3 linked regions of the Caenorhabditis elegans genome follow. The protein of the gene in region 3 interacts with the protein of the main gene of each other region in a biochemical or structural test. Each region holds a gene or a part of one and is shown on either strand. Other genes may lie near its edges. The genes, in order: lin-7, stn-2 and mcm-3.

Region 1 (10,174 bases), on a different chromosome or scaffold from region 3:
CCGTTCTAGGACAGTGTGAAAGGGTACTTTTGAACTATACGCACTTAAATTTCCATTAATTTATCGGTTTTAATTAAACCTGATACCCATTTTAGGCTGAGGAATGATGTTTTCCTATTAAAAAACACCATATAAGCCTAAAACTACAAAAGCATTCCACACGTTTTTATTTCATAGTTTAAACAATTAATTTTTAATAATACACAAGTACCAAAAAAAGTTTTAAATGTTCAATTTTAATATTTAGTATTCATTAATTTTTCTAATTTTTAATTAAAACATTTTATTCTTGCAAAGCTTACCGATTTTTGAGCACTAACGTTGCTCCAAAGTTATTGAGCATATTTATTGTATGTGCCGAGCTGGCTCCGTAGATTTGATACGATATCTGAATCAAGGGTGTTGTTTTTCTATTTTTCGGCTTTACTAAAAGTCAAAAAAAAATTTCGGTAAATTTACCATAAAATATTATTTTTTTTTAAAATCAAATTTTGTTTATATTGATGAGGAAAAACATTAAAAGGGGTACCAAAAAGAAGCACAATGGCCAAAATTTTAAGCTAATTGTTGAAAATTGAAATAATATTCGAAATATCGGAAAATCGAAAATGGAAATTTTTCGATTTTTTAAAAAATTTTACAGTACGGTATTTAAACATTTTCAAAGTTTCCAGTTAACAGTGCTGCACAGCAGCTCAGGTTCAGGGTCGACTACAAACCTTCATGACTTCATCAATATATTCTTCAACTTCTGCCATCCGGGTCTCTCCGCAATAATTAATCAAAAAATTCGCGTACGCTTCTAACGTCATTCCAAAAAGTGCAATCGGGTCGGTGTACATTGGTCCAAACGTATCGACAGTGTGTCGGTCTTCGACAAGAGCTCCGTGAGCAACACTGAAACATTTTTCTAAACTTTTTTAAATACTTTATACAACAAACCTAAACTTTTTCATATGCTCTTCCATAACCTTCATTTGTCTTCTCACACAATGCTTGAAACCACTTTCCGCGCTTTCGAGATCACCTCGATGTGCCAAGATGTCGGCAAGTTTCAGAGAAACTCCGATAAACTCCGGGTCAAAATCTTTTTTTCCGTGAAGCTGAACGAGGCGCTGAATTACAATTCGAAAATATTTATCGGCTTCGTCCAAATTCATTTTCTCGTAAAAAGTATTGGCCATTTCATCGTAGACTCGTGTGATTGGCATATCTTCTTTCCGCTCTTCAGCCTCCTCTAGTGCCAGTTGTAGTACTTGAATTGCATCGTCGTACTGGCGTCGTTTCCGGTAAAGCCAAGACTGGAAAAAGAGGAGGGTCTCGCGAGGAAAATGTTTCTGTACAATTACCTGTTTAACCTTCTCTTTCAATGGATCAGCATCCAGCTGCACCTTCTCAATGCCCAACACATCCTTGATAGTTGTCATCCATGAGAGAGCGAGTACTGTAGTTCCGCCGGTCGCTGCACTTTTTCCATATCTACTGAAATATTGATCTTAAGAATTTTTAACTCAATTTAATTTATTTACGTATGCGTAGAATGCGTATTACACAACATATTTGCCGAGCAAAATATCTCGTTGGGAAAATTACAGTAATTCTTTAAATGACTATAGTATACTGTAGCGCTTGTGTCGATTTTCGGGCTCAATTTTCGCTATATTCCATTTCCTTCGTTTCTTCGTATTATTTTCTCATATTTTGCTTAATTTCAATATTCTATCGATAAATAAACGATTTAAATTAATTTCGAAAATCGAGCCCATAAATCGATACAAGCGCTGCAGTAGTCATTTAAAAAAATTGCTGTATTTTTCCCTACGAGATATTTTGTGTCGAATACGTCGAATATGTTGCGCGATACGCATTCTCGGAATTTTGTGTGCTTAAAAAAGAATCTGAAAAAAATTTGTTTCCAAAAAACTCACGACCATCTCCCGCCACCGTTGGTTTTTCCACCGCTGCCCCCATGACGATGATGCTGCTGTCGTGACCGCCCCGAGCTATGATGCTGACGTGTAGTCCCGGTGGAGAAGGCGGCCGCCACAGGACGGACCGTAGACGTACATAACTTGGACATGGATGGCAGCATCTGCATTTTTTTCAGGTTTAGGAGACATTTGAATAAAGTGAATCATTATTAAATAGAAAATACGGTGGGAAACCGGAGGGAATTGTAAAAAACAAAAAAAAATATCTGAAAATCTTATTAATAATTTACGAATTTAACCCGACTCAAACAACGATCTCAAAAAATTGTCTACTACTACAAAATCACTAAATAATAACTAGAAAAAAATTCCTAAAGATAAAATTAATAATTACAGAAAAAATACAGGGACAAAGGGAAAATTTAATCCATTTTCGGCGCAAAACTTGATCCACAAGAGCATCCTTTTTCGGCAATCGGATTATTGACAATTCGAAATGAAGATTTCATTAAATCTTCCACGAAATCCACGGTGGCGCCTTTGAGAAAGCCAAGGGAGAGCTGAAAATTACAATTTTTAAAAACACAGAAAAATTGAATGCTTTAAATTTTTGTTACACGAAAATAGATTTTTCTAATAAACTTTTTTAATTGTTTTTCTTATTTTAACATTTTTCAGAAAATTTTTTTTGAATCGAAAAAATTGCCTTTTGGGCGAAATTTTCTAAACCGTTGTTTTTAATTTTAAAATTTTTCGGCAAAGTTTAGAAAAAAACCGAAAAAATTGACTTTTGTGAGAAATTTTTTTTGAATATTCGCTACGATTTTTCTCATCAATTTTAACATTTTTTACACGTTTTCACCTCATCCACCACAATTTCAGCTCCATTCTCTGATGATTTCCATAATAAATCGTCGTTGTTAATTTTTTTGTCCAATCGAATTTTATACTCAAATCCCGAGCATCCACCTCCATCCACCTCAAGTCGTAGGCGTTCTCCGTTATCAACGACTTCCTTGAAGAATTAATTTTTTAAATTAAGGTTTTTTTCTAGTCATTGAAAAAAATTGAATTTTCGAACAATATTCACAAAATTTTTTAACTTTCTTTTTTGAAAATCGGGGTTTCTCTGAAAAGCACTACAAATCAAAAGTATACAATTTTTTTGTAAAAAAAACACCGGAAATTAAATGCTTTGAAAAACTTTGAAAAATAGGAAAGTGCCGATTTTTTTCCGAAAAAAAAAACTGGAAAATCGAAATTTCTCGTTTTTCCATTTACAATATTTCTAATTTTCAAAAAAATTGGGCGCCCAAGGACAGACTAACTTTAAGCCTGCTCGCTGCCTTATTCGTCACTTTAATCTCTTGCTCGGTGAGCATCCGATGAGCCTGTCGGGTTACTGTACAAGCCATTAGTCTGCCGATTTTTTGTGTGAGCATTTCGAGAAAATTCTGAAAAAAAAATCTGAAAAAAGTTGAATTTTACATCAAAAAGATAGATTTTCGTGATTTTTGAAACATGGAAAATATTTTTTTAAAAATGCCGAAAAATGAAAAAAAATTATTTTAAAAATTTAGTTATTAAAGATACATGGAGAAAAGCACCTATTTGAAAGAACGTAAGGCAAAGCAAGATTATTAAAGCAATTTTTGGGCAATAATTTGGGGAGAGGGTGAGTGTTGAGATTAACATTGTTTTGGAAATTTGTCTGAAAACGGAAAAAGAGATAATAATGTACATATAGGGATATCTAAAAATCTAGAACAAAGAATAGAAGAGAAGAAGTTAGAAATGAGTATACATGAACTGGAAAAAAATAGAAAAAATAGGGATTTTATGGTGGAAAATGCAAACTTTTCAGCGAAAATTTCAGTTTCAAGAAAAGATCTTTCAATATTGCTACAAAAGTTCTATTTTCTCGGCTAAACTAATCAATGTTTGCAGAAAAATGCGAACTCTTGCAGTAAAACATTGAGGCCACACGAAAAGGGGAGCAGAACGAAAAGGGGATCTGCAAAAAGGGGATCTGCGAAAAGGGGAGATACGAAAAGGGGAGCAACGAAAAGGGGATCTGGCACTGTGCCAAGCGCTATTTTTCTCGAAGAAAACGATACAACGATGCTCCGATGTTACGCGTCGCGTGTTGTTAAGCGTATCTTCTAGAAGAAAATTTCAAAAATCAACGTGCGTTGCGTGAGAAAAATTGCGTTTTGTGCGTTTGGCACAGTGCCAGCTCCCCTTTTCGTTGCTCCCCTTTTCGTATCTCCCCTTTTCGCAGATCCCCTTTTTGCAGATCCCCTTTTTGCAGATCCCCTTTTCGTTTTGCTCCCCTTTTCGTGGGGCCTCAAAACATTTTGATGCAAAAATTTTAGAAATATTGTTTTAATGTCCATTATCTATATTACGGGAGCACATGAATGCGTATTGCACAACATAATTGACGCGCAAAATATCTCGAAGAGAAAACCACAGTAATTTTATAAAGTACTACTGTAGCGCTGGTGTCGATTTACGGACATCATTTGAAAACATAAAAAAGACAACAAAAAAAAAAACGAAAAACCAATTCGAACACAAATTTGTATAAAAAATAAAAATATATTTTTTTGTTTGTTTTTTTGTTGTCTTTTTTTTGTGTTTTCTTTCGATATTTCATCGATTAATAAATGATGTCCGTAAATCGAAACAAGCGCTACAGTAATATTTTAAAGAGTTACTGTAGTTTTCGCTACGAGATATTTTGCGCGTCAATTATGTTGCGCAGTACGCATTCTCGAAATTTAGTGTTCCCGTAACATTTAGTTTTGTTGTGGCTTTTTTCGTATTTTTTCCAAAAATTCTCGAATTCTTGATTTCTACAAATGTTCCGTCTTTTTTATCTTCGTGGATTTGTCGAAGAAGACGGCGTCGGGAGTGTTGGACTCTGCTGAGTGGATCGAATTCTCTGTCTTTCGAATCTCCGCTCCATTTCATCCAGGAGTTTCGGCATATAACGGATCACTAGCTTTACACTTCCGACTGCGGATTTCAGAAGATCAACTGCTTTTTCGTGGCATTCGGCTTCCACGTTCTGAAATTTTTTTAAAGTTATTTTTTTGAATCAAAGTTTTTTTTCTAATTCGAGTTATATTCTTCTACTAATTAAAAGTGTAGTTGTTTTCAATTTTAAAAAATGAGAATAAATTGTTCATTTTTTCGAAAAAAAATATTAAGAAAAATTTATAATGTTCTTTTATATGGAAATCTTCGTAAACCGAAAAATTCTGTCTTTTATTACTGGTTCCTTTACTTTTTTCCGGTTTATTTTCTGAAAAACACTAAAAATCTGAAATCTTCGATAAAAAAACACTTAAATTAAAGTAAGTTTCGTTTTTTGCTTAAAAAAATGAATTTTTAGATTTTTTTTTCATTGAAAAACATTGAAAAATCAATATTTTTCGATGTTTTTTTTCCGAAAAAAACTAAAAAAAAATTGAATTAAACATTTAACCCACCACTCCGTTGACCGCAATAAGTTGATCGCCTCGTTTGAGACCTCCGTGTCTGTCGGCTACGCCACCAGGGATTATTCTGCAATTCAAATCGTTTTTTTTAAATTATAAAATCATTAAATATTTTTATATCTGCACCTGGAGATGTAAATCGGTGAATTTTGCTCCTTGCCGCCCATAACATTGAATCCAAGCCCTTGATCGGTTTTTGGGAGCTCAACGATACGTGGATGCGCGTGGCCTTCGGCTGCAGCAAACGCCGCCACTGTTGCTTTAGCTGTTGCGGCGGCTTTTATCTGAAAAATGTTTAGTGTTTTTTTTTGTTTTCTGTTGTTCAAAAACGGCTCAAAATTATTTCGAAAAATAAAAAAACTACAATTTGAAATTTCGACAACTTTTAATTATCAAGGTTGGCGGCAATTGTCGCTCGGCTTTTTTTTTGCCAAATTCGGCAAATTGCCGATTTGCCATAATTTGCATTTCCGGCAATTTGCCGATTTGCCGAAAATTTTGATTTTCGCCGAACTACCGATTTTCCGGAATTTTTTGTAGGGATTTTCATTATACGGAAACACTTAAAACTGTGCCTTTTTGAATTTTTTAAAATTTAAATTTTGAAAATTCCAAAAAAAATGTGCAAAACCACAATTTGCAGATATGGCGGAAGTATTAATTCGGACAGTTTGCCAATTTGCCGGAATTATCAATTCCGACAATAAGCCGATTTTCCAGGAATTTGAATTCCGGCAATATGCCGATTTGCCGGAAATTTCAATTCCGGCATTTTTGTCAGTTTTATCAAAAAAAACTGAACCTCTGGCGTTGTATCCGCATCAATTGATTCATAAACAGTCTCATAGACCTCTCGGACGGCACCGAAAAATTCGGATTGTAGCACCTGCTGCAGCGATGCCAATTTTGCATTATTGACCTCTCCAGTCTTCTGAACGTGCTCCATGAGCTCTAGAATACGCTGAACGTCCCGCTCCAAATTCGGACCATCCGGGTTATCCATCTGGAAGATTTGGTTGGAAAGGAGGGGAAAAATAGGACGGAAATAGGTAAAAATGGCAAGAAAACCAATTAAAAATTACAAAATTAAGCTATCCAGAGCGGAAAAACATTATTTACTATTCTAATTGACCATAGCCCGTCAGAAAATTATTAAACACAACAAAACCAAAAAAAAAATCGACAAAAAATTAAATTTAAATTTCATGTCGCAGCGTGTGCTTCTGAGACAATTCCAGCGGAATCACATTGAACGTCATTTTGTACAAATCCACGTCTTTCCTATACTCGTATCCCTTCATCTCCTCAATTTCATAGTCCGGATCGCATTTTTCCTGGGAGATACGAACGATTCCGTCGCAATGGGCACGCAGAAGACGTTCTCCGCGATCGTTTTCATAGTAAACCTGAATAACTTCTCAATAATCAAAGATATTTGATAATAAATCTTACATTTAACCCTGGATGATAATTCATTTTGAATTGATTCACCAGCAAATCGTCTTTTCGCACAACTTCTCCGTCTTTCCGGAAAATTCCACGGAACGGGAGATTCTTTGGTGGTCGTAGAAGTCCGCGAATTTGTTGAAAACTACCGGTGAATCCCTTGAGGCCCATCTGAATATTTAAATTTGAATTTAGATAATTTTAATTGTTAAATTATAATTTTGAGTTGCATTGCATCACTAGAAAGATATTTTATTGAAAATTAACGTTTTTCAGCATTATTTAATGCTTTTTAACGATTTAAACAATTTTCTCATTTAATTTATTGATAAAATATTGAGAAATGTTTAATTTTAAGCATAAAATGAATAAATCCTGCTCCGGAAAGTCCGATAAATGCTTAATTGTTTTGGAGACTACGGTCAACATTTTTTGTACGCAGTACGCAACGTGTACTGCAGACCGTAGTCGAGAAAACCTGCGCATCTAACTGTCTTCCTCGCGCCAATTTTGTTTCGAAATTTCTTTTTTGGCTGTTTTTCGTGTTACTTTTTGCCGGATTTTTGCCGTTTTTATATGATAGAAATATTATGTTTTGTGTCAAAATAGGTAAATTTTCCATATAAAACCTGATGATTCAAAAAATTTTGTGAATTTGAAGTCCAAAAATGTGGAATTTCAAGCCGACACTCACGAAAAATTTTCACATTGTGCATACGTTATAGTTTTTAGAATACAGAAAAAAACAATATAGTATTTCTGAGTGTCGCATTTTTGAGTGGTTTGTATATTAGTATATTTTCTTGCAATTTAAATGTAATTTTCGAACTTTTTTTTCGAGATTGGAACATATTTTTACCTTCTGCAAAAATATTCTGTTCTTTTTACGTTTCCCGAACTTAATAATTGTTTTTCAGAACCAATCCAAACAATCCGCAGCAATGGGAAAGCGAAAGTCGAAGAGAAAGGCTCCAACCAAGGCAAAGGCTGTAATGCCACTCGACACCCAATTCAACTGTCCGTTTTGCAATCATGAACGCGTTTGTGAAGTGAAAATGTACTTTCTAAGGAAAATCGTTTCAAAAAAAAACGTAATAATTTTCCAGGGATCGCGAAAAGAATGTCGGTTATATCTCGTGTCGTGTCTGCTCTGAAGACTTCCAAACAAACATCAACTACCTCTCCGAGCCAATCGACGTCTATTCTGATTGGGTGGATGCCTGTGAGCAGGCAAATAACGCCTGAATATTCCCCATCCGTCAATCTTAAATTCTTATACGACCTCCTTATAAGCCTCCAAAATCCCCATCGCGTTGATCTCTTTGCTTTTCTCAGTAATTCTATTTCCTTCTATCCCCAATTCATCCACACACTTTCTGGATCATCATTGCAGCACGCCTCGAAAACCGGTCCTTCAATTCTCACGAGAATGGTATCCTCGAGCTCGTTTTTGTGTGTAAATAACCAAATCAGCACATCACCATTTTTTGTACAATACTTTATTTTTCATCATTTTGTTTCAAATTTCTTTGGCTCAAAGCTATATAAAAAGTTGAACTTAAAAATCAAAAATGGTAAGTTAGCTAGAAATGCAACAAGGAAATACATGCAATATTCTGAATTCTAAAAAAAAGGAAAATATCATCCCTCGATAGTATTAAGTTTTACACATGCTTCAATCAGGCAACCGACGGACCACGCCTGGGCAGCACAACTCTGCATACAGTATTCTCCATCAGCATTTGTCAGTTCCGGTAGTGACCTCCATGGTGATGAAATGATGTGCTTGTAAGCATTGCCGAGTCGCTCCTGGACTTGCCGGATCGCATACTGCTTTTCGGATCCTCCGAGGATATCACCGATTCTCAGCCGAGCTTGGAGATAATACCCGGCGACGAAGAGCCATTCAGGGCCCTGATGATAATTCCATCCTTTTGCCGTCTTCTTGTCAGTCCCATCATCATCATTGTTGTAGTAGCCGTTGTAAGCCCAATCTGTTGGATCAAGGGTCTTCATTCCAAGTGGTCCAAGAAGAACTTCAGCTGAATCCAATGCCTTCCATGCTTTCTTAGGATCCATAAGATCTGGAGCAACTGCTAATGCAATTCCAAAGTTGCAACGAAGCTGGAAGTCGGTGAATCCTAGTGTGGAACCGACAGAATCCTTGATGATCTCCCGACGATTTACAAACTCCGCATAGGAATCTTTATCAACAAAGAACTCCTTCTCAAAGTTTTCTCGGATCTTCTGAGCCCAGAAGCCCCACGTCCACTCGTCGCTAACTCCGGATCTCTGGATCACACCTTGCTCCTTCCAATTCTTCAAGCTTTTCAGTGCTCTGTAGGCAAGTCCCTGTAGCTCGACGGCCGCTCCATCTCTCGGCGTCGCGGGTTCTCCTTTATTTCCGGCTCTTTCACTACTTCCCATCTTGTCCATCCATGTTCCACAATTCCAGCGATTACCGCCGTAGATGAAGCCTGTGGTGCGAGAGACGCCGGCGGTCACCTGGAATAGAGGACGTTGTCAAAAAAATTATTTGAAGAACGAAAATGTTTGATTTTATTTTGTTCGTTTTCCCCCGAGAATTTGAAAGTTTTTGTTTTTGGAAAATCAAAAACGAAATGTTACGATTTTTCGGTATTCCGAGAATCAAAAAAGAGATTTTTTTCAGAAAATCGAAGAAATTTTTTTTTTAATTCTATTTTTTTGGTTGTTTTTTTCAGAATATTTTTTGTCGATTTCCAGTACATAAAAAAAAGGAAAAAATATTTTTTAAATTAGCAAACTAGTTCAGAATTATTTCAAAATTTTGCTTAAATTTGTTTACCAGAAAAAAATTTCAATTGGTTTTCGAAATTGAAAAAACAAAAACTGTACCTGGAATCCCTCATCTCTCATTTGTTCGTCGATTTGTGGTCCGGCACTTCTCTCCCTGTAGTCAATCCCAGCGAAATGCTTGTCAAGTGCCTCATAAATAGTTTCAATAAGCATCTGTTGCACTTCTCCCTCTCCATAGACACTATCATCATTCGGGTAGATTCTGCGCACTGGATCCTCAAGAATCCCGACTCCATTTGGCGCCGATTCCACGTATTTCACAATCGAAACCAGCCAGAACCACGTGGCATCTCTACAATTATATCTGGCACCAATTCCCTCGGCTAGAAGATTCGGTATGAGTCCATGACGAATAGCGCCGGCAAATGAGAGAATGATTTGACGGGCTTCCTGGAATCGGCCAGTTGATAAAAGGCATCCCGGCAAGGCGATAAATGTGTCACGACCCCAATT
Region 2 (11,132 bases), on a different chromosome or scaffold from region 3:
AGGATTGTTGGTTAGAGAGAAAAAATGAAGAAGACACGGTTGCTGCTGCTGATTGCTGCGTATCATTGACGTACGCGCTATTTGTAAGTTATGAGTCAGCAAATTACGATCATTTTCTTCTTGTCCGCTTCTTTTCTTCTTGTTCTGTATAGAATTTCTAGGGAACATTCACCTGAAAGTGATACCTCTTCGGACAACAATGGACAGAAAAGTAGTGTGTCTTTGAGTTTAGCTAACCTGCCGAAGCTGAGACGAACAAGAATCTTATTTGCGCATTTTTTTTGAAGGGGAAGAAGCAAGACCGAGCAAGACTAAATAAAATACTTCTATGAGTTTTCGTGCTCATTACGGTGACATCATTAACATCACGGGGTTTAACAAACAAAAAATGAGTTCTCAAGTGTATTCGGTTTAAAGCTCTTCTGGAAAATCAGGCCGGAGCTAAATAAACTTAGGAATTAATAAATAAACAGTTTTATTAACTCAAAATAAACGCGCTCTCAGATTCATTTTCTTACAACTTAGTTACACTTACTAAAAGTCTTTCAACAACGCTTAGTCTGTTTTGAGGGACGTATGTGTCTTTAACAACTATTATAGAACACTCAGGATTGTTTTCGGTAGAATAGCGTAAGTATCCTATTGTTGAATTTTTGAAACTTTTAGTCCAAACTTAAAAAACTGTTTGTCTTTCTTGATTGCAAAAATTGAAAATAAAAAAGCAGACACTAGAAGTTTGCAGGCAAACAGGCATACAGACGTTTTATATTCAATTCTTAATTATTATTCCAAAAACTCTGATATCTACAGGAATGTTAGGGCCACGACTGATAAAAGAAAAACCGGTTTCCCGGCACATGCGCAAGTCGATCGCGGACCTCGATCGGAAAGGGCTGCTGCTCATATACCATAAAACCGCTTGTATGTTCGGAAAGCAAATATCAAACTACACACGTATTAAGAAACCATATTGCCTACCGTTCTGGCGCGCAAATATCTCGTAGTGAAGGGACCTATATCTTTTTTCCGTGCAAAATGCACGTTTGCTGCCGTTTCTTTTCACACCATAAAGTAGGCATTCTTATGAACTGATGTTTTTTTAAATAATGACCTTTCATAAATTGTAATCGATAATACTGAAAGTTGAAAATTTGTCAAAATGATTGGCACGCACCAGTCTGCGGGGTGGAATACTAGTATGGAAATACGGTATTTGGAGGTGGAGATATAAAGCATCCTCGAGACGTACTCTTTCTGGGTTAGTCTCGTTTTACCGTTTTATTTAACACTCAAAATTCAATTGTACAGTTGTAAATTGCATTAGTTATGTTAAAATAAATCAATCAATCAAAGCATTCAAAAAGTAATTATATATTTAAAAACACCTACATATTAGCCAAAACAAATTTACTGTTATTTTGAAAGCAACCCTTGAAAGCAAAAGGAATTTTAAAAAATTTTAAAAAATTTTAAAACATTAAACTGTAAGCCTTAAATATTTTAAACACTCATTTCGCAACTTCTGTGTCGACAAAGAAGAAAAATAGTTGTTCACTCTCCGCAGCTTCTTGTTTTCGATTCCATTTTTCTATACTTTTCAAACTGAAAACGTTACCTCTCAGCAAACAGTATACCAAAATTTTGCAAAATTTATTTGAAAAAAAAAAGAAAATTGTAAACAAAATAAAATGTTAAAGAATATGAAACCATTGGGGAACAAAAGCATTTGGAAAATTAAACGTTTGGTTCCAATAGACACATGAACATTTAGAGAATTGATATGATGATGTTATTCCTTTCTATTTTTGATTTTTCTGAATCTGAGTCACTTCAAGATCATAACCCACGCTGATCTTCTATATTTCACATGACGGCAGTGCACATTTTTTCTCGCATCAAAAGTCGCACTTAATCACCAAAAGTACGGATTTACATAAATTCCAGAAATGGGAGGAGACACGATTGAAACAGGAGAGAAAATTCTAGATGACGGGAGTATTGGTCAGTCAAATTTTGATCAAACTGAAGCAATGTTACCCGTGAGTTTTGTTTCATTGTCCTTTTCTTTCAACAAAACTTTAAAATTTTAAGACTCCCAGTGATAAAACTGATTGGAAATCCATCTACCTAGCTGGATCATGTGCGTTCATACAAGCCACACAGTTTGCAATATTTTTCACATCTATGTATCCATATATTTTGACAGTGAGTCACATAAAGGTATTTAATTAGACTAATTTTTTTAGCTGGAACATAATGTAACGCAAACAAGTTTTGGAATTGTAGTTGCAATGTACAGCGTTTCACAAGCGATTTTTAGTCCTGTTTTTGGATTTTGGAGCAATCGAATAGGTCAAGTGAGATTTCCGTTAATAGTCGGCTTTATTGTTATGGCTTTTGGAAATATCACATATCTTAGTTTGCAATATTTGTCCAGCAATCACTTATACGTTATGATGCTGGCTAGACTCATTGCTGGAGGAGGCACAGGTGAATTTTCAAAATAAAAAATAAAAAATTGAATAAATACTCGAAATTTGTAGGAAACATGAGTTTACTTAGAGCTTATGCTTCAACAGCTTCTACTTCAAAAGATCGCTCTCGTGCTATTGCGTGTGTTTCTGGAGGAATTGCACTTGGAACCATGATGGGGCCTGGATTACAGTTACTTTTCTCTCCACTTGGAGAAAACGGAATTAACATTCTTGGGTTGAACATCAGCATTTATACCTCTCCTGCTCTTTTTTGCCTTATTCTCAATGTAACTGGGTTGCTGATCGTGAAGCTTGCTTTTGTGGAAAAATATATTATCAACCATGGTAAAAATATAGTGCAAGATGAAGAAAATGGAGAGAAAAAAGTGAGTTGAATAGTTAAAACTGTCAAGGTGAAGTAACATCAGGATTTTATAGCCATTGACCAGTATCATGAAAAACGTATTGTAAAATTTCAAATGTTTTGAAATTATTCCTTCAAAGTTGTGGTAATCTGCCGATTTCTTAAACAATTTGGTCCCTTTAAAAAATTTAAGCAAATTCACAAATTTCTCAAAATTTGCGAATTTGCGCCTAAAAATTTTTACAGTATCTAGGCGCAAATTATCAAAACTTACTATGAACATCAAAATTGTAAAAAATTTGTTTTTTTTCTGGTTTCAGCTTTAGGGGAGAACTAATAGTAAGTAATTGCCACGCTTTGCAACAGTTTTTTTGAAACTGTTCTCTATCAAGCTTGATAATTAGAAAAAAGTGGTTTTTTTTATTTTCAAAAAAATTGAAAAGGCTAAATTGATTTTAGTTTCCCCGGCAAATGAATTGCCTAGTTTATTCGAAAATTGAAAATTCAGTTTAAATCTCAACTCGGCAAAACGTCGCAACTTTATAGCAAACTCCTGCAACTTAATAAAAACATTTATATAACTTTGTAAAAAGCTGTTAAGAAGTTGCTAAAACCAACGGGATTGTGAGCGAAATTTAGCTTTACATCTGCTAAGAAATTGTAAAAGTTGTCTGAAAAGCTGCAGAAGTTTGCTTAACAGCTAAAATGCCTAATTGTTGTTAAGAAGTTGCAAGAGTATGCTATGAAGCTAGGCCGTTTTGCCGAGAACCTTTCTCTACGGTATAAACGTCTGAAAACGTGACAAGGGATGTTTCAAATTAAATTTTTTTAAAATACGATTGATAAAACCGGAAAGATGTCAATGTCTGCACGGGAATTCAAAAAAATCGCCTTTCGCATTTTTAAACACATTTGAAACAAAAAATCATAAAACATTTCCTAAAGTTTTTTGCATTCATATTTGGCCTATGAATAAAAATGAGAAAAAAAACCACAGGCAGGTCTATCAATGCATGTTTTCTAATAGGATACTAATAAAAAAGCAGGAAACAATTTTGTTTCCAGAATCCAAAAAAATTGCAAAGAATATAGTGTAGGCCTTGCTAGGCTAGATATGGCGAAATTGGTGTGTGGGGGTTTTAGTGAAATAAGAGAAAGCGGAAGACCCATCGTATTTCGCAATCGGCCTGGCAACCCTTGCACTTCGCGGTAGTTTTAATTTTCATTTTCAGATTAAAAAACTAGCCAGCCCTGACTTCATTGCAATTCTGCTATGTATTATTACTCGTTTCTCTCAAATTTTCTTAAACACTACCATCGAGAGGTAAAATAAAATTATAAAAGCTAAAAATTTTTTGTTTTAAATTACAGTATTGGGTCCGCATACACAATGATGATGTTCGGATTGGAGAAGGAAGAATCAGTTTCAATAAATGCTGGAGTTCATACCGTTGCTGGTTCCATTGCGGCATTCATGTTCATTTGTTTCATATTTACCGGAGTTCGAAGATAGTTAGTTGCATTTTAAAAAATTTATCTATAATATATATCTAAAATTTTCAGCATGAAAAACCGAGTATTCACATTTATTTCGCTGTCCATCCCGTTAGTGTGGCTCATTGCAACTTATCCATACAAGTTCTACAGTGATCATGTTCAACTTATGACAAATGGTGAGTTTATAAAGTAATTATGAAAGTTGTAACATTTAAATTTTTCAGGAAGCAATGCCAATTGTGACACTGAGAAATATTCTTGGTGTACAGATCTCACTAAAGTCAATGAATACGTAAGATCTAAGTTTCTGAAATGTATGAGTGATTTTCTTTTCAGGTATATTATATTGGATTCATTATGGTGTTTGGTGTTGCATTTTCGTTTATGAATATCACCGTTACTACACTGTTTTCCAAAGTAATAGGCCCGAGACCACAGGTATCATATTATGAGTTAATAGAATTCTAATAGTTCATATTTCAAGGGAACTTATCAAGGTGTGTACCAAATGGCCGGATCATTTGGGCGAATGCTTGCTCCACTTTTGATGAGCTACGTTTACACATTATATGGCCCTTCAATTCCATGGTTGATACTAATTGTGAACGTGAGTATTGCTGCAGTTAATTCAATAGAAACCCAAACGATTTCAGCTGGTAGTCCTTATTAGTGCGTGGATTATATTGCGTGTGAGAATGGTTCCATTCGAGAAATATGAGACGAAGAAGATTGAGCCTTTGAATTAGGCAACTCTTTACTTTGTTATTTCACCTTTGTTTGAGTTTTCGAGTACTGTTGTAAGTGCAATATTACGGCAAACAGAAACCGGTTGATTTTGACTCATCGCGTGTCTTTATCTTGTTATCGATATAATTCTTTGAGAATTAGAATTTATGATTATTGAAATAAAGGATTTTTGAAATTGACAATTTGATTGTGCCAGAAACCTGAAAAAAGTCATATGTTTTCAATGAAATTTTGATTTTTTGCATATGACTCAAAACTGGTCCATAAGTTACAGGTAGACTACGGCATGCAGATTGTTTTTATTTTTAGTTTGAAATAAAAAAATGTTGAAAACCTAGCTTTAACTCATGATTCAAATTTTGTTTTAAACAACAGTTGAACAACAACAAAAAAATATTTATGCTTTGAAAATCAAAAATCATTAGTCCTCTGCATTTCCAACATAACGATTAGCCTTCAAATAGTCTGGATCAGTGGAAACAATTCTGGCAAGAACAAAGGAATGAAGGTTGAATACAACTGTTACCACATCTTCGCATTCGATGTCCTGCAATTTGAGTACTTGACTCGGAAAGTTGCAAAACCACTAACCTTTACTTCTATTCTATCGGAATTCAATGAACGATCATCATTGAACGATAACTGGACACACAGTTTGCCATCATCAGCAACGGCTTGTAAATCTCTGAACCGATATTGCCAAATGTAACTCTAGAAATAAATTGTATCAATATCAATAACAGTTAGAAATAGTATTACCTTAGTAGGAATATCATATAGACTAATTCCCTGTTTAATGTCAAAAACGATTCCACTGGCTCTTCCTTCAAAGTTACAGGCAAACGTTCGGGACTAAAGTTAACTGTTATTGTTGTTGAATAATTTAAATAAACTTGCCTGCATTTGGGAAATGGTATTGTATACGGTTCGGTAATATGCTTGCTCAAAAAGTTCAAATGCAGATACAGCTTCAAATGACAGGTAGTGATTTGGAACTTGCAATGGAGTTTCTATTAAGAAACAATTGTCACGCTTATCTCTTCGTGGACTAGAGTTTGGGACCTGTAGATATCCCTTCTAGAATTACTACTTTTTTTGATAATCTACCTGTTTTACAGCAACATCATAACATTTGTACAAGTAGACACATTTGTTGAGATCTTCAGAGTTTAGCTGGAAAAAAAGAATCATGTAAAATAAGTTCAAAAATTAAAAAAAAAACATACCGGCGGAACATCAAAGAAGCAGACATCACTGCCTTTTAAAATCAAGAAGCGAGGTTGCCAGCGGATTTTAAGCTCTTCTTGATCATCATCATTCAAGTATTCATTCACCCAACCAATGTAGCTGATCTAAAAAACATTAATTTAAACTATTTACTGCAAAAACCGTGCATAATGTTAGTAGATTTACTAGTTGACTATTTTCTTGAATATTCAATTTTCAACAAGATAGTCGGCTTTAAAAACAACAATGTTTCCATCAAGTATCCTAAATCGAGCAGACAAAAGCAAAAATAATTGCCTCAAAATTAGATTAAGCAAAGTTTTATTCTGAATTCGTAATTTCCATTGTATTAGCTTTTAGAAAATACATCATTCGACCCATAATTCTCTGGACACCTAAAACGGCTTCATAGTCAGTAATGTTGGATCATTAATCTGATGTGTGCTGAAAACATTTAATTTTTAATTCCGATGTCGTATTTTTAACAGATGTTTCAAGGCAACCAAACGTGCCTACCAAACATTGAAGTCATATCATTGCATACTGACCTGCTCACTCTGATGCAAGTACTTGTTGCTCATTTTTATACTCTTTTGGTTGAGCGACAATATATGTTTGCTGATGTGCGAGATCCATTGTTCCAGCGCCGATGTATCTTCGCAATGCACAATTCCCGACGATCTTCCATCTACTGCACGAACTTCGAAAGAGTTTGTCCTGTAAAATTTTAGTTTTGTTGAACAAGAAATACAAAAAGCTCCCCGTTGTATGTATTCATTACGAAAATAAAATCTGAAGCAAACCTGATATTGTCGGTTCCCCAGAGGTATCTGGTGACATAAGCCATTGCCAACGGAAGAGACGTCAACGTTTTCCATTTCTTTTCCCGTCCGTCAATATGTTGTTGCCATTTCGAGTCGGAGAGTCGGGATTCGGATTGCGCTTTGTGGCTCTGAAGCAAAAACTCCAAATAATTTCAAAATGGAAGCTTAGGATTTTTTCTTACCCTTGTACTTCTTCCATCAAACAGCTGATCCAATGTTCCATCGGGTTGCAATGACTGTGCTGGTCTGAAAAGTAGTCACTCCAACGTCTCTGGTACCCCGATATAAAATCAAATGCAACTATATACTCTGCGCAAAACATTGTGTGTCCCTCGGCAGTTTGCCTACTGCGCACATTTTTGAATTTCAAATGCAGTGAAAAGCATTCATCAGGGAGGATGGCGTAAGGCTCCGCGTGCTTTGCCTCAAACCACCCCCTGCGCAGAGCTCTTCTACACTCTAATCCATCAGTTGTTTCTACTCATGTTTCTTCGTCCTTTTCCTTCTTTTTCATGCTTCTTTCTTCCACTCTTTTCAACCATACTTTTTTTGTGTGTCCTCTCGCCAAAGTAACGCCACGTCGAAAATCGAAAAAGGAAGCGGGAAATAGGAAGAAAGGCGATGCATGGGACTGACTTGAGTAGCAAATTTTTTTCGCCACAAAACCAAACTCACTTTAGAAACGGCGTCATATGGGTGAAATGGCGGACACCCAAAGTTACTTGGTCACCGCTTGATTTTAACATGTTAACCACTTCGTCGTGGCTTTGACCTGGAAGTTGATATGAAAAAATAGTCTACCGTTTTTTTTCCCTATTAGACTTGTACCATCATGCCCTTGCTTGATTTTGACAGCTTATATCTTAGTTAGTTCTTTTTGGTTTTTTTTTAATTGGCAACTGAAAAAAAATTGATTTGTTATGAAACTTAGGACGGCATATATAACCCATCCAACAGAGAAGGAGCAAGTATAATAGGGAAAGTACAGCATATGACTTGTTTTATTATTCAATACAACTTTGTTTTTTTTTTTTAAATTTTTATGTTAAATTTTTGAACGTGAATTGCCAAAAGTTATTTTGTTGCGGCTTTTATAGGCCCCATGTGAGAAGTGTGGAAAAAATGCATACATTCAAAAATTGATGGTTCCATTTTATTTCTATTATTTAAAAAAAAACTAGTTTAACTTTTTGGTCTTTGCTATGAACGCTCATTCGTTTTCAGTTCCTATTTCCCAGAGGGGAACCAAATGATTGGACTAATGAAGACTACTCGTTCTTTTTCTTCCCTCACCTTCTATGGATATTCCATTTACTTCTACGATAGCATCTCCAATAAATAGCTCTCCACATTCGTCGGCTGTAATTTAAGTATTTTTCTAGATGTTAAAATTTTAAATCTGACGATTTACCTGGCAATCCTTTGAATATTTTGGAGATTACTATTGGCATGTTTTGTGCATTTTCTGATCCTCCCTGCAATAGTTCTAAGTATTACACCGGTCCTGTTCAATTGCTCACTTTAATAGACAATCCGAACCCCGAGTCTGGTTTTTTAACTATGACAACTTGCCGAGTTGCATTTTCTAGAAATGTTTCTTTGGCTTCTTCGGGCTCCGCGGTACCATCGTCAATGACTTGAATACATAACTCATCTGCAAGAATATGTTACGATATTTCTTTTTTTGGATGACTTTTTATATAGTTTTCATGCCATTTTCATGTCATTTCTACCAAATTTTTTTTGGAGTTTTAAAAGCGCAAAGGAAGCGCAAGACAAAAACGAAGATGCGGGACCCTGACAGCTTTTTCCTCTTTTCTCAACAACTCAATTGTAGGCTAGGCACCAATTTCCGCGCCATGAGCTGCCTAATAAAGTTTTCACACGACTAGTTGAGGCCGTCATTGCACACTTTTCTTTTATTTTCGTTTTTCTCCCCCATTTCTCCTCGTTTTTCAGGCCCTTCTCGCTTTCGCAAATTGTGCGGCTTTTATAGGCCCCATGTGAGAAGTGTGGAAAAAATGCATACATTCAAAAATTGATGGTTCCATTTTATTTCTATTTCAAGTTCCATTTTAATTTCCTCTTACCTTTGGATAAAAGCAGTCGTGACGATCTAGAAGTGGCATTCCCATCACTAATGAGTACTATTCCATGATGAACCTGAAATTTTTTGTTGGAATTTGTTTCATTTAACATATTGTCAAGTCTTGTATTTCATAAGACTTCAGATTGCTGGCATGTACTATACAAAAATTAAACATGCCCATTAAAAACCAACAATTTCATAATATTTGCTAAACTTACCACATCCAGATTATGGTGTGATTTCGTAACGGACATTTAGCCTTGTTTAACAGAGAATATAAAATGTAGCAAAAATGAAGGACAATGAACTAGAGGGACTAAAGATGCGTGTGTGTGTGCCACCTCACACGAGTCAACTTTGAAGCGCCCGAGCTCCAATCTATCCTATCTGCTCATCGGAAGCGGTGTAATACACACATTACAACAGCAAAAGATGCGGAATCATAGACGAACAGCAAAAACGAGCAGTTGAAGGAAGTGAGAAACAAGATGATAAACAGCTGGTTTGAATTTTTAATATCAGAAACGAGTCATCCAATATTTTTAACATCCAACAAAGTTTTGATCATAGTCTGAAAACTGATTAAAAGATATAAAATAAGAGCTGAAATTCTGGAACTGTTGCCAAAGAGATTGCCGGAAAGGCAACCATCATTTTTCTCAATTTCTTCGCGTGCTGCTTTCTGACTGATAAAATTTTCTACACATTGTTCACAGTCACAAAGTTTTCTGTACTCTTATCATTAAGCAGCGACCATTGCTCACCCATCTCCGTTGTGGTCTAGTGGTTAGGATTTATGGCTCTCACCCATAAGGCCGGGGTTCGATTCCCCGCAACGGAATACCTTTTTGAGGAGTGACTTTTGATAAAAATTTTAACATCCCTGTTTTTTCTCCATTTGTTTATTCATATTCAACAGTTAGTGATTTTCCAAACTAATTGAAACTTTCACTGAAATCTTTTCCACATTTCTGCATGTTGTTTCCTGCAAACTAATTGATGAATATAATCAATCATTTTGACGAATTGCCGTTTTCTACTCTTATTGTCCTTTTTCCCCATTAAAACAATGGGAAAACACGCATTTTAGCGCCGTGACCCTACACTGTGTCTTCACTTCGAATGTCAATGAGCCATTGAGCTTCAATTGAGAAATGCCGTTTTGAAGATACAAAGACACATCGTTTCGCTTTCCATATTTCGAATGATGGACGATTTTCGGCGGCGCAAACACATATGAAAATGTTCCGCAACTGGCAAAAAAGAAAGGCAACGGAATATATTTCACAATCGTTGTTGTGCAAACGAGGCTGACTTTTTTGCCTTTAGTCAACTGAGTCATCAAGAGAGACTAAAATTGTGATTTTTTCTTTGAGTACATATGTGTGATCACATTTTCTCTGCTTGAAACAAACCACAAAGTGTTTTGTAGCTCTTCTTGTTATATAAATTAAAAACGGAGTACCTTCAGTAGGAAAACTGTTTAAACCCGCTCATATAGTGTCAAAAATTAAACGACAAAATACATGAACTTTAATTTTAAAAATTAGATATATATAACTGTTTTCAAAGTACGCACGTATTTTGTTATTTATTAAACCTTGTTGTGAATCATAACACCTTTTTAATTTATCAGAAATGGAAATGTTCGAAATCCTTTTGCATTTTTATTCTTGGAAAACCACTTAAACTTGAAGAGGAACACGTGTATCACGTATTATTAATATGGAAAATTTGATGGAAAAATTAGTTTATTTTTTAAAATGTGAGATTATAAAACCTAAATACCGATTATTAAATAAGTAATCTCCCATTTTCATTGAAATAGTTATATGCTGGTCTCTATTGCACTCCATTGCGCGTCATTTCCAGCGCATAGTACGCAGTACAGTCCCCGTGGTGTCTACGGT
Region 3 (10,216 bases):
TTGTTGCTGGTTACCGGACATGTTAGCGTTTGGCGATTTCTGGTTGCCACACAGCCATGGATCAGTTCTAGAATATTTTCTTTTACGCTGCTACCGTACCCAACCGTACCAGTACAGTGTATATCCGAGAATAATCTCCGAATCACGCTAGCTACCGTACCCCCAACAGCTCCACCGTACGCGCAATTTTAAACTTTTCCAGGGACACCCGGACCCCTGCATTCTCCAAACTGGAGGTCAAATGAGCTTCTGCCAACCGGATGGAAGTCAAGATTATGTGTGTTGTGGAACACCTGAACTGCTGGTTAGGTTGGTTGGTAATCAGAATAAGCAATCATATCCAGAGAACTGGAACTTTTATCCAAGGCAATCACATTACGACTATAGTGTCTATATCAGGAGTTCGAAAGGTTAGCTGTGGTAGAAGAATTGTCTTAAATCTGGAAATTTAGAACAACTAGAAAGTGATGCTGCTTTCAAAAATCAAGTAATTCTAACGACTCCGAAGACCACGACCACGACGGTTACAACTACGAGAAAACGGCAACCGGTGAAAGTATGGGTTTCTAAGAATTTTTTTGCGCGTAAAATCTGATACATTTCGGTTTTTTTTTTCCAGAAATCCAACGTTGTTCTTCAAATGCTCACAATCCCGTCGTTAAGCCGTGGAAACTACTCAAACTCTCTGAAACTTCATACAAATTCTGTTCTCGTTCGGGATGGTGCATGCGTTTTTGTGGTAGATACCGGGCTGCCGTCTCAGAAAAAACAAATCTCAAAAAGTTTGTTTCACTATTTCCATTCGGCTCATTTAATAATGTTTTCAGATTTGGCATCATATGGTGCTCCAGCAAAGAAAATAAAATTTGTAGTGGTGACGTCATCACAGCCTCAGTTCTCAGGAAATTTGAATTTATTCCCATTTTCACAGTTCATAATGGCCGACGCCACAATGTACAAGGATAATATCGTTTTTATGAAACGATTTGAAAAGGTGGGAATTTGATTGATGACCGAGTTTTTTTTCTTCATTTTCTCGGCCAGTTGTGAAAATTTGCTTTAAAAATACGGTACCTGGTCTCGCCACGACAAATTTTTGTTAGATGCATAAAGGTGTGCGCCTTTAAAGGGCAATGCAGCTTCGAACAGAAAACATGTAAAATTACTGTAATATTTAAAGGCGCACACCTCTTCACATGGAACAAAAATTTGTCGTGGCGAGACCGGGCATCGTGTTATGATTGCAAAAATGGAATAGGATTTGGTTTTTTTGTAGTTATAATTTTCCGGCCAATGAATCTGCAAGCTTTTTTTTTTATTTTTGCGGGAAAATTCTCAAAATAGTATATTTAAATCTGGCCACGAATGATGTATTTTCAAACAGAATTCACGAAAAGAGGTGTGCGTATTCAAAGGACTACTGTAATGGGGTTATTCAAGTAATGTCGGAAAATTAAAAAGTGTAGAAAAATTACGTCACAACTGTATTCAAGTATATAAAAACATGTATTTTTCGTTTCTATAGGTTTTCAACAAAAAAGTTAACAAGAAAATGGAGAAACTGGTTGCTGTACTTCTTAAAGGCCTTTTTTGCAAATAGCAAAATTTCGAAAATCGTGGCGAGACCCATTGCTTTCCGAATTAAATGTTTTACGATTTAACAATAACATTTTCAGCATTCAATTCTGGAATTATGCTCTCCGAATTCTCTAATTCAGTCGACACCCGGACCCACTCCAAACTCAATAACCGTAATAATTCGAAACGTGGATTTAATGGGAACAATTGCAATCGCCGGCGCCCTCTTCCCAAATGGAAACGATTTAAACGTTTTCGATCGGAATTCCGTGTATGATATCGATAAATTGATCGAATCACGAAATCAGGTGATTTGTGAAGTTGATTGGATTGTCCCGGCGAGCTCTTCTCCGTTCCGTGTCACACAACTGCACAGGACAAATGCAAACTGTTAAATTAATTCGAAAATAATTAATTTCTCATATTTATTAAGCGGGTTTCTATATTTTTTTGTTCACGCTGAAAAACATTTCAAAATAAAAAAAGCTAATAAATCGTTCCAAAAAAATGTATTTCCTATATCTTCGAATCTAAAAAATGACGTCTTCTTCCGTTCAACAATCGATTGAAATTCGTGTTAATTGGAATGAAATTCCAACAATTGAGCAAAAAATTTTGGAGGCGCTGAAAGGAATAAAAACTCGAAATATCCGAGAGACGAATGTAGTTTTGTTCAAGAAAAATGAGGTATGTTTCCACTTTCTCATTCCTTTCCAAATAATTGTTTTCCAGGAAATTCATGTGAGAATCGAATTGAAGCCAATGGAATTCCCTGACACAAATCGTTGCAAAGCGGTTCAAGCGAACACCATTCCGTTGGTTGGTGACCATCGACTCGGATGTACCGGAATTCAGTATCGACAGGAGAAGGCAGCGAAACGTGGAAAGAAGGCTCGCATGTCGACCGGCGTTCAGACAGTCTCCACAAAGAATCAATGACCAAGAGTACTTCTTTTATCCGGTTACGCGATTGATAAAGAGATATAATAGGGGGAGGAATAAAGAGAAAAGAGAGAGACAACATAGTACAATAGGCAATGTAAAATCAATGTGAGTGGATTAGGAGACCCTAGTTAAAATGAAATAGGAATGATAATCAGGTGAAAAAAAGGATAAAATAATGATTTGATTGAGAGATCGAAAAGAAAACGGGGCTTATGTTCCAGCTTCCAGCAGGAAATTAGATGAGAGTGATCTTATCTTCGGCAATCATTGCAGCGTTATCGTTTTCCAATTGTTCGTATCCAGCCTTCAGCTCATCCTCAGTGAACTTGTGTGATCCGGCTTGAGTTTGAACACCTGAAAACATTTTTGTAATAAACATTTTTAATGAAACATTTGCTTACTGTCTGTGATAATTTGAAGTTCAACCATATCGTCGGTGCTTCCAATGTCGTCGAACGCCTTTCTGACGTACTTCCGAAGCTCCTTATAACGATCAACTCCGATGGCAGCCGGTCCAGTACGTGCTTTCTTAGCAGTTGGCTGACTTTCTCCAATGGTAGTATCCATCATAGAATCCTGGCTATCATCATCTTCAGCACGCCTTCTGACTCCACGACGCGGGGTGGCTGCAGTCGGAACGGAGCTAGATTGAGGCTCTTCCGATGTTGCCATGTCCTCGTTATCGCTCTGATCCTCATCATCGTCACCATCAATTCGTGGAGCTCGCTTCTTCTTCTCATACTCTTGACGAGCCTTTGGCTTCTCCTTGAAACAGGCAAAGTGGAGCAGATTGTAAGCTTTCTCAGTATCCTCTCGTTCGACTTTTTTCGAGAATCTTGCCTTCGCGATAGCAGTTGACAAACGAATCAATGTTTCGAGTTGACGAGCGGTGACAGGCATTGTTCGTTCTTGATCAGTTTTGGTGATATCAAATGAACGAATATCGGCATATACTTCAGAAATGTACTCAGTAGCTTCATCGGTGAGTTTTGGTTGAACTGATCTTGCCAAATGGATGTACTTTCTCATGAAGTCCATTGTCAGGATTTTCGTGCTGAAATAGAGAAATTAATTAATTTATATTGTTTTTTTATAAAAGAAACTCACTCTTGAATACCAGCCCATTGGGTATTTTCCTCATAGATCGAGCTGCTCGCCTTCTTAGTCTCCATATTGATTGTACTGATCGTCTCAACACCTCCACCCATCGGAAGAACAGTTCCATCGGCTTCACCTTGGGTTCTGTAAGTGTGAAGCTTGAGCACATGTTCAGCGACATTAGCGTCCTTGTCCGCATCATGCTCATCAAGAAGTACAAAGATCAAATCGAAACGCGAGAGGAGTGAATCTTGCATTCCGATGTTTTCCATTGGAGATTTGAATGGATTGTATCGTCCGTACACCGGATTTGCTGCAGCCAGAACCGAGCAACGAGCATTCAGCTTCGCGTGGATTCCAGCCTTCGAAATTGTGACACGTCCCTGTTCCATAACTTCGTGGATTGCAGTTCTATCAATATCAGACATCTTGTCAAATTCATCAATACAAACGACACCACGATCGGCGAGAACCATTGCTCCAGCTTCAAGACGACGTTCTCCCGAATCAGGATCAGTAGTAACAGCAGCAGTAAGTCCAACACCCGAAGATCCACGTCCAGTTGTGGTGATAGCTCTTGGGGCCATACGAAGAACATATCGAAGCAGTTGAGACTTGGCAACAGATGGATCTCCGATGAGAAGAACATTGATATCTCCCCTCAAACGAGAACCATTGTTCAGAATCTTTTCCATTCCACCTAGCAACAAACAGAGCAACGCTTTCTTTGTCTCTTCGTGGCCGCAAATTGATGGAGCAAGTGACCGAGCGAGCAGCTCAAATGGGTTTCTTGACTTTGAAATTTTACGAACATCTTTAACATCTTGTGGCTCAAAGTTTGGAATAACCTCCTTTGAAAGCATTTGAATATGATTAATGATGATGATCGAACGGAAGGATCCAGACGAAACTCCATTCTGCTTATTCGGCAGAACACGGAAGACTCCAATGATGCGGACACGATCTCCAGGCTTGACGCGATCTGCCAAATCAAGATCAGCAACACAATCGACGGCCCGAGGAAGTTGACCGGCTGGTGCGGATTCTGGAAGCTCTTGAATTGTGAACGTTTGATGATCCTTGTAAACTGAATGTCCGAATTCTGTTTCAAGAGGATTCTTATTTTCATCTTCTGTTGGATAGTTGTTATTGGTGACTGCAGTGTCGAGCATAGTGAAATCGGCAAATTTCTTCTCGAGCACTTTATTTGTTGCTGGACAATAGTGGACAGAAGTGAGAAGTTTTTGACGAACAGTTGAACACTTTGTGACGATTCCCTCACAGCAGACAAGGTTTCCAAGATATGATGATTTGAGAGTACGTGGATTGACGTGGCGCTCTCCGAAAGTTCCTTCAAAGCCGACGTGGAATCCACTGAAAATACAAATTGTTTAAAAACAAAAACGGCTTTTAAAAGCTACTCACGTTTTGACAACAGCTTGAACATCACTACGATTAATAGCCATTTGAAGTGCAGATTGTAAGCAATTCATCTCAAGAACGCTTTGGGTCAATAGCCTGAAAACTTTAATACTCGGGAATTCTTTATTTTTTATTAATTACCCTTCAGCTCTTTCTGGTAGAATTTCCCTGATTTCATCGAGATTCATCACCAAACGACTTTCTCCATCATTCATCATTTTCACAATTTTCTGACGATAGTGAAAAGTGTCGGCTTGATTGTCCAAAAAGTTGAGATACTGCTCCGTGATTTCTTGTTTTCGAGCATCCTCGGCACGATCAATGAACATTCCATCAGCTTGTCCGTCCATTTTTTCTGAAAATAAGATGTTTTTAACAAAAGAAACTTAAAATTAAAAAATAAACGAATAGAAACTAGAAAGCACGGAGAAGAGCGGGGAAAATAGAAAAATTCGGCCCAAATTCGCGCATTTCTCATTCAAACAGCAAGGTTTCGCGCGCTCGCTCCGTAAACACCATGACGCAACGCTGCACTCAATGCACCTGAAAGTGATGTTTGAACATGTTTATTTTAAATAGCTATTAATAGCGAAATAATTTTATTTAAATAAAAATGCCTGGAATAAAATGAAAATTGTCTGAAATTATCAGTTCAAAATTGTCATTTCAAGTTTCAAAAAACATCAATAACATTTGTGCCCGTGATCTATGCAAAAGATCTCTTCCAAAAATCTCCTCAATTTTTCATAACAAATCACAAAAATGGAATCTATTGTTTCAGTACTCACAAACTCACAGACACAGATGCTTTTCCATTCTATTCATCCCATCTTTCTTATTTTCTCCCTGCCTCCCCCAGGACGCACCTTTCGTAATACATTTATACATAGAAATGGGAAGAAAGTGGTCACAAAAGCACACATATACACAAAATTTATGCCGTAAAGCTTTAAGTGCTTTGACTTTGTCTCCTAGAAACTTGAGCGCACCGCGTGCTGGAAACCATTGGAAACCGTTTGAAACAACATCTATCGGACCCTCCCGCCGCCGCTCGGGCCTTCACTCATTCATTCATTCACAAAGCTATTTTTTCTGTGCTTTTTCGTTTTATATTCGCAATACGATACGAATACGAAACCATGAAACTTCTACTCGCAATCTCGATTCTGGTACTCTGGATTTCAGAGACAGGTGAGAATTGAATCTAGATTTATAACAGGACTGGCGAAATTTTGAACGTGTTGCCTCCAAGAGTACTGTACCGGGTCTCGAAACGACTTTTTTAAGACAAAATCTATTAGCTTACTATTCTTCAAACGAGTGTGCACCTTTAAGGAGTACTGTAGTATTCAGATTGTTTCCGGGTTTTCTTTATTTAGTTGCTATAGTTTTTTCTTCCGTTTTTTAAGTATCAAAAAATGATAATTACACAAGTGAAATTACTTGAGAATGAAACAATTTTTAGAAAACAGGAGAAAACTGTTCTGAGAAAAGTTAGAAACTACCGTACTCTTCAAAGGCGCAAACACTTTTGCAAATTTAATAATGGGTAGTGTCGAGATCTGATCTAAGGGGCTTGGTGTGCGCCTTTAAGAGGTACAGTTTTTCCAGGGTTCAAAAATGTTTATTTGAAAACTAAGTTGAAAATAAACCGAAAAATCTGAAAAAAAAAGTCGTTACTGTACCGCTTAAAGGCGCGTACCTTTCACGATTTGCAAATATTTCTTTCGTGGCGAGACCTTGGAGCTTTGGAACATTGACTTTTTTTCAGAATCCACAACATGCTTCGTCCAAAATAGTATTCTCAATGCGTTCACTCAAGTCTGCCCGGGAAACATCTACACCTGCATGAAGTTCGACTGTAAAGTGAACAATCCGAAGAAATGTGAGTTTTAAGCCTGGAAATTATCTGTAAAATCTGAATTTTCAGTCCGTCAGACCACTAAAGGATGTAATGATCCTGGAAATGCCCTGGTCGCCTGTACTCAGCTTATGGTAAGTAAAAATAAATTTATATATTTTTTCGTGCAAAAATTAATTTCCAGACGCAATGCCAAGCCCAAGGTGGAACCGGACAATGCTACACTTGCAATGGAGATTACTGTAATTCCAGTCCAACGAGCTTCTCGATTCTCATCTCCATCGTCGTTCCTGCAATTTCCTACTTTTTAATTTTCTAATTCCAAAAAATTTAATTTAAGTTTTTGTGCCATTTTTGGCTTTTGAATTCGTTGTAAAACATCAGTAGGTTGTTTTTTTTTAGTGAAATAAATCGGGAAAAAATTGGAGCAAGTTCATCATGTTCATAGCACACGAAAATTGTATGGAAAGGGGTTGGGTGGAAAAAAAAGAAGGAAAGTCATGCAAATCAATCAAAAATTGACAAAAAAATGGGGGAAAAAAAGAGAAAATGTGAGCCCGTAAAAAATCTACAAATTGATTGAAATTCGAATTTTCGCCATCGAATTTCTCGCAGGTTTAAATAGAAAGTGACACGACCGTGGACGATTTACATGTGCAAATATGGATATAAAATGAGCAATTTTGTGAATCCCAACGAATCGATTGAATGGGGTATATGGAGGGGTAAAAGATCATAAAACAGGGAGAATGGATGGGATGGGATGTTTGGGATGGGGGATGAAGCTTCGGGTCACATCAGAGAGCAACATGATTTGCTTTGTCTTGATTTATTCTGCACATAATTCATTTCTCGTACGATTTCCGCAAATGTGACATTCACATTTTGATTGTTTTTTGCGGAACATTCAGTGAATGGACATGACCAACTTTCGGCTGAAATTTCAAAATTAATTATTTGAATAATGTTTTATTTGAAAATTGTATCACTTTCTATTTTGAAAAAAAATCGATTTTTCCAGAAAATGACTTTAAAATTTCTTTCTTTTTAGAAGTAAATTGTATTATTAAAATAAACTTTTTTCCCAAACAAAATTTGATAAAATGTTAAAAACTTTGTGTTTTGAATTTTCTGGAAATCGAAAGCTTTCGTTTTCCGATTAACAAAATATTTTTTGACCATGGCCATGCAATGATTTACGAAGCTGTACTCCCCGAGGAGGAGAGCTTCACATTGTTTAGAGTGAAAATAATTGTATTCCTTGTTGAAAAACTAGCAAAATTTTTGTTTTTTTTTGCAGTTCTCCGATCCAAATACATTGAATCTAACTCTTTTTGGCAGTGGTTCAGGCGAAAATCGTTGTGTTTGCAATTAAAAATTGCAGAAAAATATGTTTATTTTCACCTGAAACACAATGAATGAAAAATAGATTGACAAATTGCCGTAAATAGCGTAAATTCAAGAATTTTCGCCAAAAACTGTAAAAGCCTTTTCCTCGAGGAGTACACGAGCTGCGTAAATCGACACAAAGCTGTGTAAGAGGTTCTGCGGCTATTTTTCTTTTCAAAATATCAGTTTTTCGTATATTTTTTTAAAATTTAAATTTGATTTTTCAAATTAAAAAAGTCTCACCCAACGCCAATCCTTCCTCTGATCGTACTTGTCTCTGATGTGAAAGATCGCATTTGTTTCCAACTAACAAAATCGGCACATTTTCGGATCCCTGAAGAAATTGATTTTAGTGAATTCACAATTTTTCAATACATTTTTAAAGTTAAAAGCCAACCTTAACCCTGACAATTTGCTCTTTCATATTTCGAATATCATGAAACGTCTGTTGACTGGTGATCGAGTAGACAACAACGAAGCCCTGAAAATAAATTAAAAATAATTTTTAGATAATTAATTAAAATTCAAGATTTACCTGTCCATTTTTGATATAAAGATCCCGCATCGAAGAAAATTGTTCCGTTCCTGCAGTGTCCAGAATTTCCAGTACTGATGGTTGACCGTCCACCTGGAAATTGATTGTTTTCATTCTAATTTTTCTGTTTTCCGTAGTTTTTTAAATTTATTTTGCTTAAAATTACCCAAATTAATTGTTTTTTTGAACTTATTACTCGGTTTCTATTAATTTCCAGATTATTTGGCTCGAATTTACCAGATTTTACGAATATTCAGTCTAATTTTCCTTTTTCTTGGATTTTAGAATATATATGACTAGTTTCGGCAATTTTTCGGCGAATTTCTCCAAATTTAGATTTTTAAAACGCTTTTGCACTATTTTTTACTAGTTTCTAACATTTAAAAGGGAGTTTTGGGAAAATTAAAATTCTAAAGCAATTTTGAAGCTACGATCGCTCGTGTACTCCCCGAGGAGAAGGAGTTTACAGTTTTTCGTTAAAATGCTCGATTTTTGACTTTTTTTGCAAATTCGTTCGGTATTCAACAGATTTTCTCTTTTTTCCAGTTTTTTACAAGAAAACTGATGATTTTTTGATTAAAAACTACTGAAACCGATAATTTTTAGACTTTCGCCGAAAAACACATAGAATCCCCAAAAATCCTATAAACAAGAACTTTTATAGCTTTAAATACATGAAGAAGTAGTAAAAATGCTACAAAATCAAATATTGTAGGAAAAAACTGTAAAATTCTTTTTCTCAGGGAGCAAGTAATGGGAGTTCTAAAATCTTTCAATTTCAAAGCTTAATATAATGTTTTAATGAATTTTTAGAAACTTTAAACCATTCTGAAAATTTCAAGCGCCATGATTTCAACCGAATTTTCTTTTTTTTTTTTTAAATTTAAAATAAAATGAATCGCTCTCACTTCAATTTCCTTGCGATAAAAGTCCTCAATCGTCGGATCATACTTCTCGATGAATGTGCTACTGACAAATTGCACCGTCAACGCCGATTTTCCGACACCTCCACTACCCAGAACGACCACTTTGAACTCCCTCATTGAGAGTTTTTTGCTGAAAATCAATAAATTGGATTAGGTGTGATTGTGAATGTGGTGGGAAAAGTGAGAAAAGAAGAAGAACGAATTATTGTAGTAGAACTATTACATCACCACACACACACAGACAACAATAACCGGAAAAAATGGGAAAGAATGAAACGGAAGTTTGAAGAGATGATGATGATGGTATGAATGAAATGGAAATTGTGAAAGTTTTTTTGTTGTTTCTCGTTCGTTCGTCTTCCTTTTTTCATTTCATTATTGCTATAACATTCTCGGCAATTTGATGTTGAAAAGTAATAGGAAAACTGAAATTAAAACCTCGGATTTGAAAAGTTTTCAGGC

The links.
Region 1: the proteins of mcm-3 (region 3) and lin-7 form a complex in vitro, tested with the Caenorhabditis elegans proteins (one study listed by BioGRID).
Region 2: the proteins of mcm-3 (region 3) and stn-2 form a complex in vitro, tested with the Caenorhabditis elegans proteins (one study listed by BioGRID).

What each region holds. Positions count from the first base shown.
Region 1 is NC_003280.10:14,342,353-14,352,526, forward strand, and holds lin-7 (Protein lin-7 homolog), read right to left. Parts: upstream 6,441-10,174; coding exon 6,240-6,440; intron 5,722-6,239; coding exon 5,564-5,721; intron 5,505-5,563; coding exon 5,429-5,504; intron 5,005-5,428; coding exon 4,810-5,004; 3' UTR 3,492-4,809; downstream 1-3,491. Other genes in the region: ddl-3 (TPR_REGION domain-containing protein), read right to left, coding at 303-388, 720-897, 943-1,301, 1,350-1,482, 1,929-2,092; Y54G11A.9 (Core domain-containing protein), read right to left, coding at 2,354-2,491, 2,794-2,946, 3,260-3,373; Y54G11A.17 (L51_S25_CI-B8 domain-containing protein), read right to left, coding at 6,634-6,843, 6,890-7,054; elof-1 (Transcription elongation factor 1 homolog), read left to right, coding at 7,825-7,940, 7,990-8,128; agl-1 (Glycogen debranching enzyme), read right to left, coding at 8,525-9,388, 9,761-10,174.
Region 2 is NC_003284.9:7,671,049-7,682,180, forward strand, and holds stn-2 (PDZ domain-containing protein), read right to left. Parts: upstream 9,572-11,132; 5' UTR 9,477-9,571; coding exon 9,441-9,476; intron 9,297-9,440; coding exon 9,224-9,296; intron 8,788-9,223; coding exon 8,654-8,787; intron 8,609-8,653; coding exon 8,545-8,608; intron 8,493-8,544; coding exon 8,427-8,492; intron 7,906-8,426; coding exon 7,809-7,905; intron 7,380-7,808; coding exon 7,316-7,379; intron 7,262-7,315; coding exon 7,113-7,261; intron 7,027-7,112; coding exon 6,858-7,026; intron 6,435-6,857; coding exon 6,309-6,434; intron 6,256-6,308; coding exon 6,190-6,255; intron 6,145-6,189; coding exon 5,980-6,144; intron 5,935-5,979; coding exon 5,842-5,934; intron 5,794-5,841; coding exon 5,674-5,793; intron 5,630-5,673; coding exon 5,504-5,629; 3' UTR 5,463-5,503; downstream 1-5,462. Other genes in the region: mfsd-8.5 (Major facilitator superfamily (MFS) profile domain-containing protein), read left to right, coding at 1,947-2,039, 2,092-2,205, 2,247-2,490, 2,544-2,860, 4,071-4,162, 4,210-4,350, 4,402-4,511, 4,560-4,627 and 3 more.
Region 3 is NC_003283.11:15,054,202-15,064,417, forward strand, and holds mcm-3 (DNA replication licensing factor MCM3), read right to left. Parts: upstream 5,399-10,216; 5' UTR 5,394-5,398; coding exon 5,185-5,393; intron 5,140-5,184; coding exon 5,047-5,139; intron 4,996-5,046; coding exon 3,631-4,995; intron 3,578-3,630; coding exon 2,925-3,577; intron 2,878-2,924; coding exon 2,759-2,877; 3' UTR 2,518-2,758; downstream 1-2,517. Other genes in the region: C25D7.5 (Metallo-beta-lactamase domain-containing protein), read left to right, coding at 203-410, 453-556, 620-782, 828-994, 1,677-1,973; C25D7.16 (40S ribosomal protein S20), read left to right, coding at 2,116-2,265, 2,311-2,517; nssp-71 (neuronal small secreted protein), read left to right, coding at 6,183-6,234, 6,815-6,928, 6,974-7,038, 7,089-7,223; rap-2 (small monomeric GTPase), read right to left, coding at 7,697-7,839, 8,537-8,627, 8,691-8,774, 8,829-8,921, 9,737-9,871.